Caenorhabditis elegans: one gene and its partners. The protein of the gene in region 1 interacts with the protein of each later gene in a pairwise test. Each region holds a gene or a part of one and is shown on either strand. Other genes may lie near its edges.

What was found. The genes of interacting proteins can lie anywhere in the genome.
Region 2: the proteins of mpz-3 (region 1) and F37C4.5 interact in a two-hybrid assay, tested with the Caenorhabditis elegans proteins (one large-scale study listed by BioGRID).
Region 3: the proteins of mpz-3 (region 1) and ugt-11 interact in a two-hybrid assay, tested with the Caenorhabditis elegans proteins (one large-scale study listed by BioGRID).

Annotation. Positions count from the first base shown.
Region 1 is NC_003280.10:6,562,587-6,567,936, forward strand, and holds mpz-3 (PDZ domain-containing protein), read right to left. Parts: upstream 2,811-5,350; 5' UTR 2,765-2,810; intron 2,735-2,764; exon of another isoform or gene 2,662-2,734; intron 2,568-2,661; coding exon 2,469-2,567; intron 2,286-2,468; coding exon 2,205-2,285; intron 2,156-2,204; coding exon 1,961-2,155; intron 1,917-1,960; coding exon 1,782-1,916; intron 1,733-1,781; coding exon 1,532-1,732; intron 1,464-1,531; coding exon 1,248-1,463; 3' UTR 1,208-1,247; downstream 1-1,207. Other genes in the region: F18C5.5 (Vegetative cell wall protein gp1-like), read right to left, coding at 2,958-3,081, 3,131-3,574, 3,616-3,682, 4,042-4,075; dbd-6 (DB domain-containing protein), read left to right, coding at 4,548-4,588, 4,820-4,937, 4,981-5,084, 5,128-5,284.
Region 2 is NC_003282.8:3,870,482-3,876,012, forward strand, and holds F37C4.5 (Protein F37C4.5), read right to left. Parts: upstream 3,326-5,531; 5' UTR 3,321-3,325; coding exon 3,171-3,320; intron 3,017-3,170; coding exon 1,691-3,016; intron 1,645-1,690; coding exon 1,450-1,644; 3' UTR 1,350-1,449; downstream 1-1,349. Other genes in the region: F37C4.4 (Transmembrane protein 196), read left to right, coding at 161-432, 780-958, 1,135-1,245; F37C4.6 (Pyridine nucleotide-disulfide oxidoreductase domain-containing protein 2), read right to left, coding at 5,007-5,189, 5,233-5,494.
Region 3 is NC_003283.11:4,891,239-4,897,387, reverse strand, and holds ugt-11 (glucuronosyltransferase), read left to right. Parts: upstream 1-2,316; 5' UTR 2,317-2,439; coding exon 2,440-2,589; intron 2,590-2,635; coding exon 2,636-2,704; intron 2,705-2,747; coding exon 2,748-2,904; intron 2,905-2,958; coding exon 2,959-3,048; intron 3,049-3,565; coding exon 3,566-4,523; intron 4,524-4,582; coding exon 4,583-4,760; 3' UTR 4,761-4,800; downstream 4,801-6,149. Other genes in the region: ugt-9 (glucuronosyltransferase), read right to left, coding at 1-660, 710-799, 846-1,002, 1,049-1,117, 1,183-1,332.

The sequences.
Region 1 (5,350 bases):
TGGAGAAAGGGGGTTATTGAGTCATGGAATGATTAAAGTAGGTTGACGGTTGTTGGTTTCGAAATTGTTGTTCTACTGAAGAATTATGAAACAGATGTTCTAGAATTTTCACGAAAAAGAAAACAATTGTGTAGAAGTGAATAAACATGTTTTTAAAATATGAATTGGCATTCTCAATGCCAAAAAATACCAAGATGCAATCAAACCATGTGTGGTTCGGTAAGAAAATTTCATCTTGCCTATAGGTATTTTGAGGTTGCCTACGCTTGCCTACTAGAGTGAACGCGAATCTTTTTTATATCGGAATTTAATTTCAAGCATGTTCCTTACTTTAGTTCGCAGCTAAATTTAGAAAATAGGCAATGGGCATGAATGTATGTCACAGGCGCCTAAAAGCCGTGCCTGTCTACCGTTGAAGTCATAAATCCTTCATAAATCCTAGTAAACTCTGTGTTACAGCTGATAGTACGGTATTCTTTATTTAAACTTAGATCTAGTTGCTAAGTTTAGTTGGATGTATTGAAATGGAGGGTTTTTTCTCAGTCTCTGGAACTGTGAAGCTTTGCTAAAAACTAATGATTCAAAATGCTAGCAATTCAAAATTGAAATCTAAATTAATGGGATTTCCAAACAAGTGAACGTAAACTAATGAGAGAGTATATTGAATGACTAGGTTAAAATGGCCTATATCCCTCCGAATCAAGTGAAAATGAGAGCCAGTATGCATCCAGAAATGACAGATACACACTCTCATCCATTGCCTTTTTCCAATTCTCAGTCATATTTTGGCGAGTGAGAGCGGCGGGCGGACACGGACACGGACAACCAGACGCACAGAGTCGGTACCAAGCAGCACCGGCCGTCTCGTACGTCTCTCTGTCCGTGCACAGTGAGAGACAGGAAGAAAAACTAGTGGAAATAGTGAGTAGGACATAGAGACGCAGACGTTTGCTAGATGAACATTTGCAACTCTGTGAGACAACTAGGAGCAAGAAAAAACGGACGATGATGTGAGACTAGAAATGTTTCAAATAATGTGTAAAAGCTGTAGGTTTTAGATTCATGAGGGTTTCGAGGAGAAACCAATCTGGCATTCAACAATAAATAGAATTAGGCCTGCCTTTTTCAAATCACAGGTTGAAGGACCGTAAATATTTGTGTCTCTAGGCATAGGTTAGGGATGGATAGAACGGTAAACAACCAAACAAACACTTTTTGAAAACTTTATTTCGAACACTTTTCTCAAGTTAAGATCCCACACGTTTTGGAGTCATTTTCAGGGGCTTCGGAGACGGAATGTACGGGATGCGAACTTCTGGGGCAGGATCCGATGGCAAGGTGGCTGGAACTGGAGCAGGGGCTGATGCGGCGGTTGTTTTGATGATGCATGGAGGATTCTTGCACGGTTTCTTGTAGAAATCTTTGTTTGCCTTCATAATCTCCAAAACATCAGGAGGAAGAAGCTGCAAAGAAGAAAATAAAAACATGTTTTGGTAAATGAAATGATAAGAGGAAATGGGTTCAAACTGACCACATCAAACTGCTTGTTGGCTTTTCCTTGGGGTGGTTTTGGAGGAGGAAGCATCACTGAATTTCCAGATTTCTTCACTCCAGCAGGTGTGCTCTGTGCACCATCGGGAGGCGGTGGAGCAGGACCAAGTGGATCAGTAGTTGTGGATCTTTCCAATGTAAGACGGACCGTTTTTGTGTTGTTGACACTCGCGTAGAGAAGCTGAAAGTAAGTTAATTACTAAAATAAAATAAGAAAAATACTACAATACCTTTCTAGCAGAGTCACGATCAAGAACATAAATGTCATTAACTTTAACAAGAATATCTCCATCCTTGACATAGTGACACGCATTGGAAGCCGATTGAACCATTGAAATAGTCACAGTTTTTGGATCAACTGCCATCTGTAAATCATCCATGAAAGTATAAATTGTCCCTGATTACTAACTCTATGAATGATAATCCCTGTTGCAGCACCTCCACGATAAGTGAAAGTCAACTCAACCATTTGAGTATTTGGACGACGTGGTGGCATTGGTTTTTCAGTGACAAGGCAATGATCGTCTCGCATGAATTCAATTGTCACTTTTCCGGGAAGTTTTGCACTAATTGCACGGATAAAGTCAGCAGTTGTCTTGATGTTCTGGAAATGTTTGATTAGTTGAAACGGAAAATCTTAAAATATTCCTTACAGTTTCTCCATTGACATTCAGAATCTCATCACCAGCAAATAGAACACCCATCAGTTGGCTACTCACATCCACATATGTAATCTGCAATGTGATTATTCAAGATCTCTTCGATTTTTGAATTGAAAATGAGTCTTTTTACAGCCTCGAAGGAAATTGCAACCGGACTTCTTATTTATTAAAGAGTGTTCTACTGTTCTACACATCAGGGCTTTTGAAGTTTTATTCGGCTCTCGACGCGAGCCCTGTGTTGGATTCTTTATTTACCTTTCCATTGACCACATCACATGCTACAACCACATTTTTCCGTTCGAATTGTACTTCTTCTTTTCCTTTTACATGAAAACTATTGTTGTTGGTTGCCATCTGTAAATAGTACGTGTCTATCTCACAGCAACCCACTCTCGCGTCTCCTGTAACTAGTCGAGCGTCTATGCCTTTGGACCCAGCGCACTCGCTGGCCTCCTTAGCTCAGTTGGTAGAGCGTGAGACTTTTAATCTTAAGGTCAGGGGTTCGAGTCCCCTAGGTGGCTTGATTTTTTGCAGTCTGAATATTAACTTACCCCGAATAGATTGATGCGAAGATGAAAGCAACTGTCGACAAGGAAATATTTGAAACTGATTCAGTTTCTCTTTTCACTTTTTATTTTCTGATTTTTTTCTGTGTAAAACGAATTCAAACGATGTCACGCGGGTATATTTATTAAATTAATTAAATTATTTATTATTAATTAAAATTATTATATTTTGATGAGATCAATGGAATGGAACAATCCAATCAGCGTTGTCTTCTGCTTTTGTCACTTTCTTTTCACTTCCTCTTACAAACTTTGAAAGTCTTGAACGAATTGTATTCAGATCTTTGCTGTATGTTGGGGCGCTGAAATTAATTAATATTAGATTATTTTCTCCTGATTTGAGTAATTCACCTATGAGCTCTAGCTTCGGACGTTGTGTCATTATCAGATTCTTCAGTTTGAACAGTTTCCATAGCTTTTTCAGCTGGTTTCATAGTTGTAGTTGTGATTCCAAGAAGACGTTGGAAACTTGGTGGCATTGTCAATGCAGGCATTGTTGGCATTCCAGGAATTGGAGTGAAAGTTGGGAAAGTATGTGGAGCAAGAGTTGGAAGAGTTGGAAGGCCTTCTGCAGACAGGACTGGTACAGGTACTGGAATGAATTGTGGAAGTGGAAGAAGTGGTGGAAGAAGTGGAAGTGTCATTGGAAGTGGTTTAGCTGGAGCTCTTTTCACTGAACGATTAGCTTTTTGAGCTGGAAGTGTAACAACTGCTGGAGCACGTCGGATTCCTGTAGAAGCTGGACGAAGAGATTTAGCAAAAGGAGCATATGCCGATAATGATGGGAGGGGTGATCTGAAGAATAGATTAAAGAAAAAATGGAATAAATGTTAAACCTTCGAACATCTCCTCTCGGTCTTAAAGCACTTGCTCTCGGTACAACTTCATAACATGCAACGAATCCTGAAATGTTGAAATTAATTGAATTTTGAAGTCAAATATATTGATCAACTGAAAATTATATAGAAGCAATTTTTCTGGACTGGTTTTTTTTGCGATTTCGTGCAAGACGAAGAAAATATGAGAATCGAAATTTGGTTATTTATAGAACGTTTCAATTTATTGACGTACAAGCAGAATTCATATTGGGTAAAATTGTTATGACTAAGAAGTTTTGGATATGTCAAATAAATTAGTTATGTATTTTTCTTAATATTTTTTAAAACAAATTTGAACATATTTTAACCCAATTAGATAAATATTTCCTTTACCATTTAGAGCTAAATTTAGGGATAAATCAACGAAACAATCGAAAAACTAACCGATGACACAAACAGCTAACAGAAGAAGCTTCATTGTTGATTCTTTCCACAAAAATGAGAAGACGAAAAAGATAGAATAAGCCTCGAAGGCGTCGCTTCTTATCACTTTTCTTCCTACGATTTCTCGTTTTGCCCTTATCAATTAGCCATCATTTTGTGGAAATCTCAATGAAAATTCCCGTTGAAAATGAAAAAAGACAATGGATATCCACCACTTGTACACTGTCTTCAATAAGATGAAAGTTCAGCTAACATTAGTTTTTACAAACAGGGATATATTGGATTATCGTGATATTGAACTTGCTAGATTTTTATTTAATTCTATGTTGTTCAGAACATTAGTGTTCGCTGTCAATTTTTAACATATACTTTGTAAAGTATCCCACTTGTGACATGGTTTTACAACAATGCTATGCAAATTTGAGGACACTCAAATAATGGGCGGGACATAGATGATACTCGAGGTGGTACTGTTATAATCGTACCATTTTTATTTTCGCAGTACAATGCGAACGTGCGTCTTCTTTTTCTGTCTACTATTCGTTATGTAAGTTTATATGAAAAAAGTTTTATTTTAAATTAAAACTTTGACACAATAAAAAGTTTCCGAAGCATCTAAAACATCTAGTGGAATCTAGATCATCTAGTTCAAAAGATTCTCCAATTGAAAAATTTGGCTGAGCTACAGAAATCGTCAAGGGAAAAATTTACAAAACTTTTTGAAATTATCAATCCAATTCTTCAAAATATCCCTTTGTATCATTACAATATATCTCAGATGCCTTGCAAGACGAGATGCCAATCAGAAGCTGAAGGCATGCTGTGCTCGACAGAAAACCGCTGACAAAATGTGCAAAAAGAGGTTCTGTGATTTTGAAGCCATTCACCAAGGAAATGTAAGAATCAGTATTTCAATTCAAAAATGTAATATATATTTAGATGCTTCACTATTTGAACACATGTGGTCCAAAAAATCAGACTGTGCAGTTGATGTGGGATTGTGCATCTTCAAGAGCCGATCATACAGAGTGTTGCAAGAAAAAGTATTCACTTTATTTAATGTAGATATTTATTTTTTTATTTCAGTAACGTTCTTCCGGCATGTCTTCCATACTGTGCAGCACAAGGAACTGTACCGAATGAGCAAGTGACACATGTATTCTGTATGCAAAACTTCAACAATATCCGCGAATGTTTCCGTTCTCACCTTGAAAAGAGACCTAATATTTTTGGAGATAATTGATTAGTGCGGGAATTATGTTATTTGTGAAGATTATTTTGATATTTATTGATAAAAACAAACTGTAGT
Region 2 (5,531 bases), on another chromosome or scaffold:
TTTCAATCAAATAATGTCAAATGAAAAACATAGTTTATTATATGTTTCTTCTTTTACAGTAGAAAATTAGTTGATAGCTTCAAAATGAAGGTGTGGGCTCGCGAAATTTTTTAAAACCGATTTTATGCCGATGCACCATGCCTAAAGTTCTTTTTTTTAGATACGCCCAAATAATGGTGCACCTGTGCCGCGCGGAGATCCTCATCTCGCTCATCTTTTTGGCTCATGGCACCACATGCCCCGGCTACCCGACAGAAGCCGAATACCAATCCACGTGCCATATGAATACGGTATCAGCAATTGTCAGCTTGCTCACCGGAGCCATGGGATTGGGCGCTGTGCATAGATATCGGTGGAGGACCATGCTAATCTTGTGGCTCGTTTTTTGTATCATGTCGGCTGTCGGAAGTCTGCTAGCTGTGATTACTACAGGTAAGAGAGTTTTTTGCCGAATGGCTTATATCTCGATCAGATTGAAAGTTGTTCAGAAATTTTTCAACAAAGTTATACTTTTTTGATATCCATTAAAGTTGAGTAAAACTAAAACAATGTCATTTTTCTTCATGGTGCATTGTTGAACATAGAAACTGATACAACAAGTTGTTTGTCAATAACTTTTGGATAAAACCAAAAAGAACTGAGATATCAACTCTCAAAATCAGGCAAACATGGTGCAACGAAAACTTCATCTTTGGTTTTATAAAAATTATTAGCTAACTTTATACACTGTTCCTTTAAAATTAACCGAGGTATGGGATTTCAATTAATTTTTTTCTCAGGCATCTGGCTCGACCACTACTCAAAAATGAAAGTCCGCACGGCAATCGGCAACGGGTTATCCGGTTTCATGCTTTTGGCATCAGTTGCTCTTGGAGTGTGCTTCATCTTGACCGCTGTCATGATTTGTCATTATTGGAACTCCAACACCACCGGCTATCAGCCAGTGCAGAAAATTGCAGTGAGTTGACAAACCTCGTTTACTTTTAAAATTATTACCAATTTACATATTGCAAAGTTAAGAAAACGTGTTTTAATTATTTCGCCAATTGAAAACTTTTTGACAAATGCAAAAAAGCTCTTAAATCACATGGTGCATCGAACCTTGTTCCAGAAATTTCCATAAACCCTTTGCAGAAACGCGCTAGATCTCTGCGCCGTCGATTGAGCCGAGCAAAGAGCTGTGACAAAAAAGATGCAAGACCTCCAACCAGCAATCCAGAAGATAAGGGTTATCATATCGTGTGATTTTTTTTGTTCTTTTTTCTAAATTCCAATTCCATTTGTTGCTCAAAACGGGTCAATTCCATCATTTCAATCCATTCTGTGTGTCTCAAAGAAATCAATAAATTCTGAAATTACACATTTATTTTACATATTTGGCGACATTAAAGGAATTATTTATAAATTATACAGATCAAGTTAAAGCGGAAAAATCATCGCATAAGCACTTCAGAACTTCTCCTCATAGCGAATTTGCTCAGCCTGTGGGTGCTCGGTAGTGTACTTGACGACGAAAGTGCTGGACTGTCCTGGCGCAAGTTGGACGGTGTAGTCGAGAATCTTCTCCGGAGTGATGGCGGCTCCGACGGTTGGCTCGACGCTTGCCTCGTCGACTTCCACGGCTTCTGGGGTGTTGAGGTGGACCTGAAAAATGGGAAATTTAGGGGCTTTTTATGTATTCAATCTTTACCTTAATTCTAGAATCTGTGGATCTTGGCAACTGCTCGCGAATGGTGAGAAGCACCGAGTTGGGGCGAAGATTAGTGACGGCAGTGGTCTTCTCGGTGACCTGAGAGTTGATCTTCTCGACGGTTCCGCTCTGTTCCTGGTAGTTTCTGACAGGCTTGTACTCGATGCGGATGTTCGGGTCGACGCCCAACGACACCTCAAACTTTTGCGATACGACCGCATCTTCGAACTCGGTCTTGTTGACGAATGCTCCGTCGAGGAAGATCGATGCCTGACCGGCGACGAGTGGGTAGTCGGAGGTGTTGACCGAGTTGGCGACGAGGAACGCGGTGGCGTTACGGGATGGGACGGTAACGTTGGAGAGCTTGGTGTCGAGTGTGAATTGTCCGATGTTCACCTTGTACTCGTCGGTGCGATCGTCGATGGTGGCGGGGCGGCCAATGCTGAACTCGGAGGCAATGTTGCTGGACTTCACAGCCGCATAGGACATTTTCATGGATTTTCTACTTCTACCCATTTCCATCATCGGAGCCGCGCAGGCCATCACCACTGAATCCTGAGCGTAACCACCTCCATAACCTCCTCTTCCACCTCTGTTACATTCTGGTTCGGGCACAACAATCGATGCCTCGAGGGCTCCGAGCTTCGGAAGTTGCTTAACTCCGTGAGCGGGTCTTGCGGTTGACAACACCAATGGCACTGTCTTCCAGTCTTCTCCACTGTACTGACGGACCTTTCCGAAGTAGGTGACGTGCATCTCAGCTTCAACACCAGCAGTGACGCGGATGTCGTAGAACGGGGTCCAGGAGACGTTGTTCACTTGGTAGGTGATGGTGAGCTGTGCAGCACCACCGGCTTCTGACTCAACAATAATACTGGCATACTGAGCAGAGTTTCTCCATCTGTATCCGGTATTGTCGTAGTCTTGGCTAGCACGGGCGTACTCTTCCTCGGCCTTTCGCAGGTCTTGATCCAGGGTTCGGATCTGAGCGCGAAGATCCACTGTTGTGTCTTGATGGAATCCGTGGAGGGCGTTGAGACTTTCAATTGTGCGCCCGTCAAAATGGAAGGCGCCGTCCTTTCCGTGCTTGGCGACTTCGGTGATCAGATTGTCAAGTCCCTCGATGCGCTTCTGTACGGCAACTCGGCTATCGGCAACCTTGTCCTTGGCGCGTTCCTTTTCCTCGAAGATCGCCTTAATTGCGAGAACCCGCTCCGGGATCACAAACTCGGCACCCTCCTGGTTCTTGACGGAGACGTCGTGGATCACAGCTTCGCCGGCTCCGGAAACACGGATCGAGTCCTGGACGAGGTCGAATGGGAGGTTCTGAAAATTTTTTTATCACATTGTGTGAGTGTTTTTATGACTTTAACTTTGACAGGTAAGGTAAATATTGGAAATTTCGATGGTTTTGTTTGCTTAGCAGTAAAAAATGCAAAAAAAAATTATTTTTTCTCGTATTTTATAGCCCTTCACTCACCTGAACTTTAACCTCATTGTAGCCATGAGCCAACTCGACCTGGAAAGTTCTCTTGAGCTCAGCGCAGTTCGAGTCGGAGCTGTAGACGAGAGCCTGGTCGATGGCGACGTCATGGAGGGTGAGCTTGTGAGTTTGCACGATGTGAGCCATTTTTTCTGGAAATTTTGAGGTAAATTTCAAGGGAAAATTTGAAAAAGTGAGGCTAAGACGAGAGTTTAACAAATAAAATTCTACAAAACTGACTATTTTCTATTTTTTTTTCAACAAAAAAAAAACACAAGCAACTTCCGAATTTCTCCCAACACAAAAAAGAAACAAACAGAAATTGAAAGTGTTCATTTTTACGTAGATCAAAAATGTTCAAAATTAACTACGATTTTTTGAATTAAAATTTCATCTTGCAAAACACTGAAAAATCTAATTAGAAAATACAGAAATTGATATTTTCCAACAAAAAAAATCACGTAATTTTCAAATTTCGCACATTTTTTAAATGTTGCTAGAATACTGTGAAATACTACAAATTACAAATTTAAAAAATTGTTTCATGATAAAATTCCCGAAATTTCAAGTTTCGCAATAATATCCGAACTTTTTCGAAAAAAAAAAATTGAAAAATGTCATTACTTTCGCTCGTTTTAGACAAAAAATTTGCAAACTAGAGCTATTTATAAATGGAAATAAAGCTTTGAAGCTATTTTTCCCCGGAACTCACCAAAAATATAGGAAACTGCGATTTTGGCAGAAAATGTATTTGAAATAAAATGAAAAAAAAAATCGAATTCCCAATAATTTTTTTTGAGTAAAATACGATATTTCACGTATTTCGCAATCTTATTTTTCGTATGTTATTTCGAGAAGTTTTCTAGTTTTGAAAAAGCCTTAAAAAAGTAAAAATGTAAGAGAAAAAGCGGAAAGCAAAGCTCAAACGATCAGAAAACCATGGGAAACCCGAAAAAAAAATCTCCATAGAGATTTGAGGGAAACACTCCTCTCAACAACTAACAAATTGTGGCGTTTTGGCCGCTCTTTTATACGAGTTTTTGGCATTTCTTTCGCTGTCTCTCTATCTCTTCACAAGAGGCAGCAGACAACACAAGAAAAAGGTCAAAATCAAGCGATGGGCGGCATTCTGTTGTGTTCCGATGAGTTTCTCTCGGTTTTTTTTTCGAAACTGAGACGAGTTCAACCTTTGACCAAGTGGCGATGAGTTTTCGTACTTGCTGTGTTGGCGAAAAAAGATCCTGCGGAAGGAGCTGTAAAACTGGGAGCACAAATCACACTAGACTACTCAATAAAAATACGAATTTCACAAACTACAGAACCACAGCTTTTTTTTTGAAAATTTCAAGACAAATCTGTGGAAAATTGATTTTTAACCTGAAAAATAGAAAAGCTTGACAGTTTTCAATATACCAAATTACAAATGTTTGCTTTTTTTCAGGTATGAACATAAATTGGATATAGTTTTTCTTTTTTTTTTTAAATAGAAATTTCAACTATTTTTTGAAGAATTAATTTTAAAATCCAAAGAAAAATACATACGTAAATTCTTTTTAAAAATCTGAAATTATTTCCCAAACTTTTACGAACATTTTTGAAAATTTCTATAATTTTCTGAAGATTTCCCGCTTAACATTTCTAATTCCACCAAATCACTCAAAAATCAAAGGTCACCGCAACTAAATCGTGAATCAAAAGATCACTTCCTCGTCGTCTCCTCAGCAGTTTCGAAACACACATTTTGCAATACATCATGGTGTTGGAAATGTTTTTATGAGTCACTGGCGCAAGACAAACAAAACAATAAAAAACCGCGAGAAGAGACTTAGAACGTTAGAAATGTTTGAGGGCATGAAGTGCGCTCAACCGACCGGGGGCTCCAGTCACACCACCTCCCGGGTGAGCACCACTTCCGCAGAGGTAGAGGGACTCGATGGGCGTTGAGTAGTTGCTCCATTTGCTGATCGGGCGGGACACGTACAGCTGGTCAAGGCTCATAGATCCGTGGAAGATGTTCTGAAGCAAATTTTGAAAATTGAGCCTTAAAAATGGGACCTACCCCTCCAGTAATCCCAAAAGTGTTCTGAATATCGGGTGGGGTCAAGATGTCATAGCCTATGACACTTGATGAAAAGTTCGGTGCATAAGCGTCTATCTCCGAGAAGACGTGTTTCGCGTATTCTGTCTTCTTTTCTTCCGTCCATTCACCGTCTTTCGGTGAGAAGGGAGTGTACTGGGTAAAGAGGAGGACGACGTGACCATCAGCACTATCCACAATGGTTCGGTCGACTGAAGAGGGAATTGTCATCTCGATGACTGGTCTGCAAACTTTTGAATTGAAGTTTATGGCGAGAATGA
Region 3 (6,149 bases), on another chromosome or scaffold:
ATAGTTTCACACGTTTGTCAGCAAGCAAAGAAGGCTGTGGAACCCATTTCTTTAAGTGAACATTCTTTGGAAGCCTATTCTGAAATTTCACGTCATCTTTCTCATACTTCCAGATAAATGTGACATCTGGAAGTGATTTGAACATCTTGATGATTCCTGCTTTGAAGTTATCGGGCATCTCATAAGATCTGATAACAGATCCAAAAGATATGAAAACCGTCGACTCTCTTTCCGCAAGAATGTTCTCATACTCTTCAGTTAGAGCCGCAACATGTCTCATTTTCTCCAAGTCAATGGTAATTCCACCAACATGAACAATGGTAGCAGTTGTTGGAACAGCAAAGTCCAGATATGAGTTTGAATTTGTAATGTATATTGGTGATTCTTTTACAAGATCTCTCCAATGGGGTACAGGGTGACCAATAGCTTTTTGGATGAAATCATTCTGGAACTGGCACAAACGTTGCGTCGTAAGATTCCAGAAGAAGATCCGGTACAAGTCGTTGAGCCTGTCGAGGAATCCTGCTTCAGGTGCAACTTTGGAGTATTGTTGTGGAAAATATCCAAGGATAGATGGCTGGCCAAATGCGCTGTCAATAATTGGGAGTCGTACAGCCGACATGAGTGGAATACTTGGAATTTCAAGAAGATCAGCTATATCTGAAAAATTTTACAATGATATAAAGGCGAATACTTCTTGAAAGCTTACAAAATCCTGCTATTTCGAAAGTTTCAGCCAGCAAAACATCAAAGTTTCTATTTTTAAGGTCGTTAAGGATTTTTTGATCTTGGAAAAGTTCTGGAAAAAAGTTTTATATTCTTACGATCCCTCTTGAATCTCTCACGTGTAGTAGTTTGTTCAAATTCTCCTCCAAGAGCTTTTGGCATGAGGAATGATGATAAAACTGGGTTATTCATCAGATGGGAATCCCAGAAATCTGGGAAAGTTGGAGTTTTCTTCTTCAAAAGCTCAGCGTAGTGATCTGGATAGTAGTTTATAATCTGAAAGAATTTATTTTCAACTGATTTTTTTTTTGGAATTCGTTACTTCAATGTTCTTATTTTTAATCAATCCATCTGTGTTTTTGAGGGCAATATGAAATGGTTGGAAGACTGTCTGAAATTTTCGAATTTTAAACTTTTTCCCACCTTCACCCTACAGAAAGCCTTCCGAAAACTTACAACATTATGTCCATGATCAGCTATAATATTAGCCAGCTGACTAACAAACTTAGCATGACTATATCCAAATATTGGGTTATAAACCAATATGTTTTTGCAAGAAACCAAACTAATAACTAATAGAATTGATAGCAAATTATTGGGCAACATGATTACATGACTAGGACAGATAACGTTTCTTTTATACAGCCACTGATGGAATTGATGTGCTTGTAGTTATCGTAGTCGCTTTGTAGGTTGTACTCAGAGAAAGAAGTTCATCTTCACATGTTCATCATAAATTATGATCTCTAGAGGGAGTTATCAAAAAGTTTGACTAACTTATTCTGACAGGTCTGTGATTTTGTTCATTTGTGGTTTGTTATTTTTCTGTGTCGCATAATATGTTCACAACTTCAAGTTTCTCTTTCTTGAAAATTCTAAATTTTGAACAAATCTTTTTTTTGAAGAAAAGCGTATGCATTTTTGTTTTGAAGTTTCAACTTTGAATGTAAAGTAGCTAGCATAAATTTCTGGTACTTCGATTTTATATGGTAGAAAAATGGATCGTAACAACTGAATTCAACTGAAAAAAAATTCTGAAAGTTTTCTCGGCAAATTTGACATACATTTTTGATTTAATTTTGTAATTGTATGTTTTTAACAAATAAAAAAAATAAAACCGAGAAAAAACTTACAAAAATGCCAAAAAAACGGAATAGTATAAAAAGGTGTGTCAGCTCTTTTTAATTTTTTTTTGTTCCAAAATTTTAACAAATTTAGTTTTGATTTTTCGAACAATTATAGAAATTGCATGAAAATACATTTTTGGTGTTTGAACAGTCAAATAAATTATTAGGACGTGTTAAAAAATAGACGAATTTTTATTCCAAGTTTTGGTATGAGTTTTCACAATTTTGTTGTGTTTCTACATTTTTTATTCATTCAAAAATAATTCAAATTGATTTTGAAAAACATAGCAAAGTGAATAATCTATAGTTCAATTTTTATTCATTCACATTTTTCTAGCTTTCAGTTTTTTTGGCAATTCTGTCGGTTGCCAACGGTTGCCAAATTTGAAAAACAAATGATGACAATTTCAAGAATTGTTTTTTTGCGATCAAAACTTTCCAGACTTGCCAAACATGACAATTTGTGTGATCTTTGCGCAATCGCAAGAGTTCACTGTCGGGATGGAGGAGAAGAGAAAACACAGGTCACCCTCTAGAAGTAGCAAATAAAAGAGTAGACAAGGTTGTGTTCACTTTATTTACTGCCATGAGGTTACTGACATTTTCTTGTCTGTGTTTTCTACTTAAAGTCAACTATGCAGCGAAAATTCTAATTTTTAACCCAATTTTTGGATTTAGTCATGTCAAATTTGTCAGTAAATTAGCAGATATTATTGCAGACCATGGGCAGGAAGTTGTGAGTTTTTTTTATTTAAAAAAATCGTTTTTTCAATTGTTTGCAGACTTTATTTCAACCTTTTCATCTTGCGCTGAAAAACTTGGATGGGATTGTGAAGAATAAAAATATTGAGGTTCAGCTCAATCTACCGTATATATAAATGTTAATTTTTTTAGATCATCAACTACTATCCAGATCACTACGATGATCTGTTAAAACTCGAAACTCAAACATTTCCCGATTTCTGGGACTCTCAACTGATGAATAATCCAGTTTTAATGGCATTTATGCTTCCTAGAATTCTTGGTGGAGAGTTCAAGAAAACTACAATACGTAAGATTTTTTTAAATTTAATTTGAATTTAAAAAATGAATTTTCAATTTTCAGAGCTCATAAAAGATAAAGAGATTCTCAAAAAGCTCAAGGATAAAAAGTTCGATGTTGCCATTTCGGAAACTTTCGAGCTTACTGGAATGTGTAAGTGATAGATTTTGGATTAATTGAAGCAAATTTATTAAAAAAATCTAAATTATAAAGCATTCTAACTTCAAAACAAACTCACAAAGTCCATTAGTTTACAAAAAAAATTGAATTTACCTGTTTTCCTCAAAAGTTTCTCATACAATTTTTGATTTTCAACTATTAACTTTGAACAAACTAACTTTTGGAACGTATAAAAAATTTGAAAATCAAGAATCACCACTGAGCAAATATTTAAAACTAATTTTAGAAAGCTATAAAATATTATGAACTAAGTTTATATAAAGTTTCAAACAATTTTTTTGAATATAAAAAAAAAATCGAAAACTAGTCTTAAGACTTTATTTTTTCTGAATTCTTCAATTTTCTGAAACTTATTTTTTCTCTATTTACCCCTCTTTTTTTTAAACCGAACGTTGACTGAAAATTGCATTTCTAGAGTATAATAAAGAGATTTAGTAAATTTAAGCTATTTTGAAATTATTTATTCGATAATCCATCTTTTCAATTTCAGACATGTCACACTTCCTGGGAGTCCCTTGCATTCCGATACTCTCCGCTGTCCGCCTTGACATTTTCAATGAAGCATTTGGACAATCATCAGCTTTTGGTTACCTAACACAACAAGGCTCCAAGTTGGCACCAGACGCTGGATTTCTAGACCGACTCAATGATGTGTACCGTGACTTCTTTTCTAAGATGGCATTCCGAGGAATGGCTCAATATCAGAATGATGTCATCGAAAAAGCTGCTGGGCATGTAGTACCATATTGGAAGGATCTTGTAAAGGAAGCGCCGGTTTATATGACAAATTCAAATCCATACTTGGACTTTGCGGTTCCAACAACTGCAACTATTGTTCATATTGGTGGGATCACGATTAATTTGGAGAAAATGAATCATGTCGATGCGTTACCAGAAGAATACGAAATAATCCTAAAAGAAAAAGAGACAACTGTATTGATTTCTTTTGGATCTGTTATTAGATCCTACGAAATGCCTGAAAACTTTAAAGCAGGACTTATCAAGGTGTTCGAGTCACTTCCAGATGTCATATTTATCTGGAAATATGAGATAGATGACTTGGAATTCCAGAAGAAACTCCCAAAGAATGTTCACTTGAAGAAATGGGTCCCCCAGCCTTCTTTGCTTGCTGACAAACGTGTCAAGCTATTTGTAACGCATGGAGGACTGGGAAGTACAATGGAAGTTGCTTACACTGGAAAACCTGCTCTGATGGTCCCGATTTTCGGAGATCAGCCCATGAATGCGGATATGCTTGCCAGGCACGGAGGAGCTATTGCATATGATAAATTTGATTTGGTAGATGGGAAAAAGCTGACTGAAACTGTTCGAGATTTGGTGACAAATCCGAAGTATGAGCAAAAGGCCAAGGAATTGCTAGATGTGCTCACCAATCAACCAATTGATCCAGTAATGAATTTGATGAAGCATTTGGAGTTTGCGATAAAGTAAGCTACAGAAAGATGTTTAGTTTGAAGCAAGAAAATAATTTTTAAAAAAATTTCAGATTCCCAAATCTGCGATCTCAAATTCCTGAAATTAATCAAGTTGGACCAATTGCTCATTATTACCTAGATGTCATTGTATTCCTAATTTTTGTATCAATTATTACAGCTTACATCAGTTTCCAAATAGTTTGCCGAATTTTATCTAGAATTTTGAGTAAGAAGGTGAAAAGTGATTAGTCTCCCTATAAGATCTCGTTAATAAATTGCTTTTATTCATTCGAATTTGTTATGGTTTTGAAATTTGAATTTATAGATTTTTTTAGAGAACTTTTTTTTTTGGCATTATGCAGAGCAAGCAGTTGCCGTTCGGCAATTTACCGGTTTGCCAAATTGCCGGAAATAATCGATTTCGGCAAATTGCCGGATATCAATTTGCCGGAAGTGTTTAGAGGGATTTTTCATAAGACAGATGAACTTAAAACTGTGTCTTTTTGAAATTTTTTCCCAGTTTTTTCTAGATATTTTCATAGAATTTGCTTACTTTTCAAAAAAAATGAAGGAACATTCATAGGATTTTTGCCGGTTAAAATTGAAATTCAGAAACTTCCAAAATAAAATGTGTAAACCCACAATTTTTTATTGCCGTTTTGCCGTTTTACCGGGAAACTTGACAAATTGCCAATTTGCCAGTTTGCCGATTTGCCGGAAAAATCGTTTGCTGAGCACCCCTGATGCAGAGATCCCAATTGGTACATTAAAAACAGTTAATTTGTTCCAAAAACGTTAAACACTTCCGATTCCAGTTTCAAAAAGTCAAGAAAACTGGGCATTACTGTTTTTGACAAATTTTCTAATTGGATTAGTAAATTTCTAGTGATTCTAGAACAGACTGTTGGGGTCACAAGAAATTCACATGACGAAATAATTTTTGATAGGGATGTGAATTGACAGGTTTTCTTGTTCAAAAAACACAAAAAAAATTCAAAACAAATCGACAAAAAAACTACTAAAATTCCTTGGCAACAAAAGTTTTTTTATTACAGTACTCTTTAAAGGCGCATGCCTTTTTGCAGTAGAAAAAATTGTCGTGCCAAGACCGGATGCCGTACTACTGGCGCAAATATATATTGATTTCGAAAACAGGCATGCCTGGTTATTAAATAAAATTTTAATTGAGAAATAAAAAAATCACGCAACTATTTTGCTCCGAATTCAAATTATTTCCGGTTTTCAATAATAAGAACAATTGCTCAACGAATTCTAGTTTCTTGTCCTCTGCTATTTACATCACAGTCAATATCCTTCTCATACACGATTAGCTGAGCAGAAGTCGTGCAAGAAGTCAAGCAGAAGCCTATGATTTGCCAACACTGTAACCGCCTTAATTGTGTTAAAGATGAAAGCTGGTTCGCTAGAAAACTTGGAAAGTTTGAAAGAAAGTTGAAAGCGAAAGAAATTTTATTTTACAGGAGGCGTTTTTCGCCGAGATCGCTTGGGTGAAATTTAAATATTGGGCACACACGTGGAAGGGAATGATTGAGTATTGAAAATATAAGAAAGTTGAATTGAAAAATAGACGGGAGAAATTGACGATGGTGGTGGCGTGGAGCAGTGGAGCATCCCTTG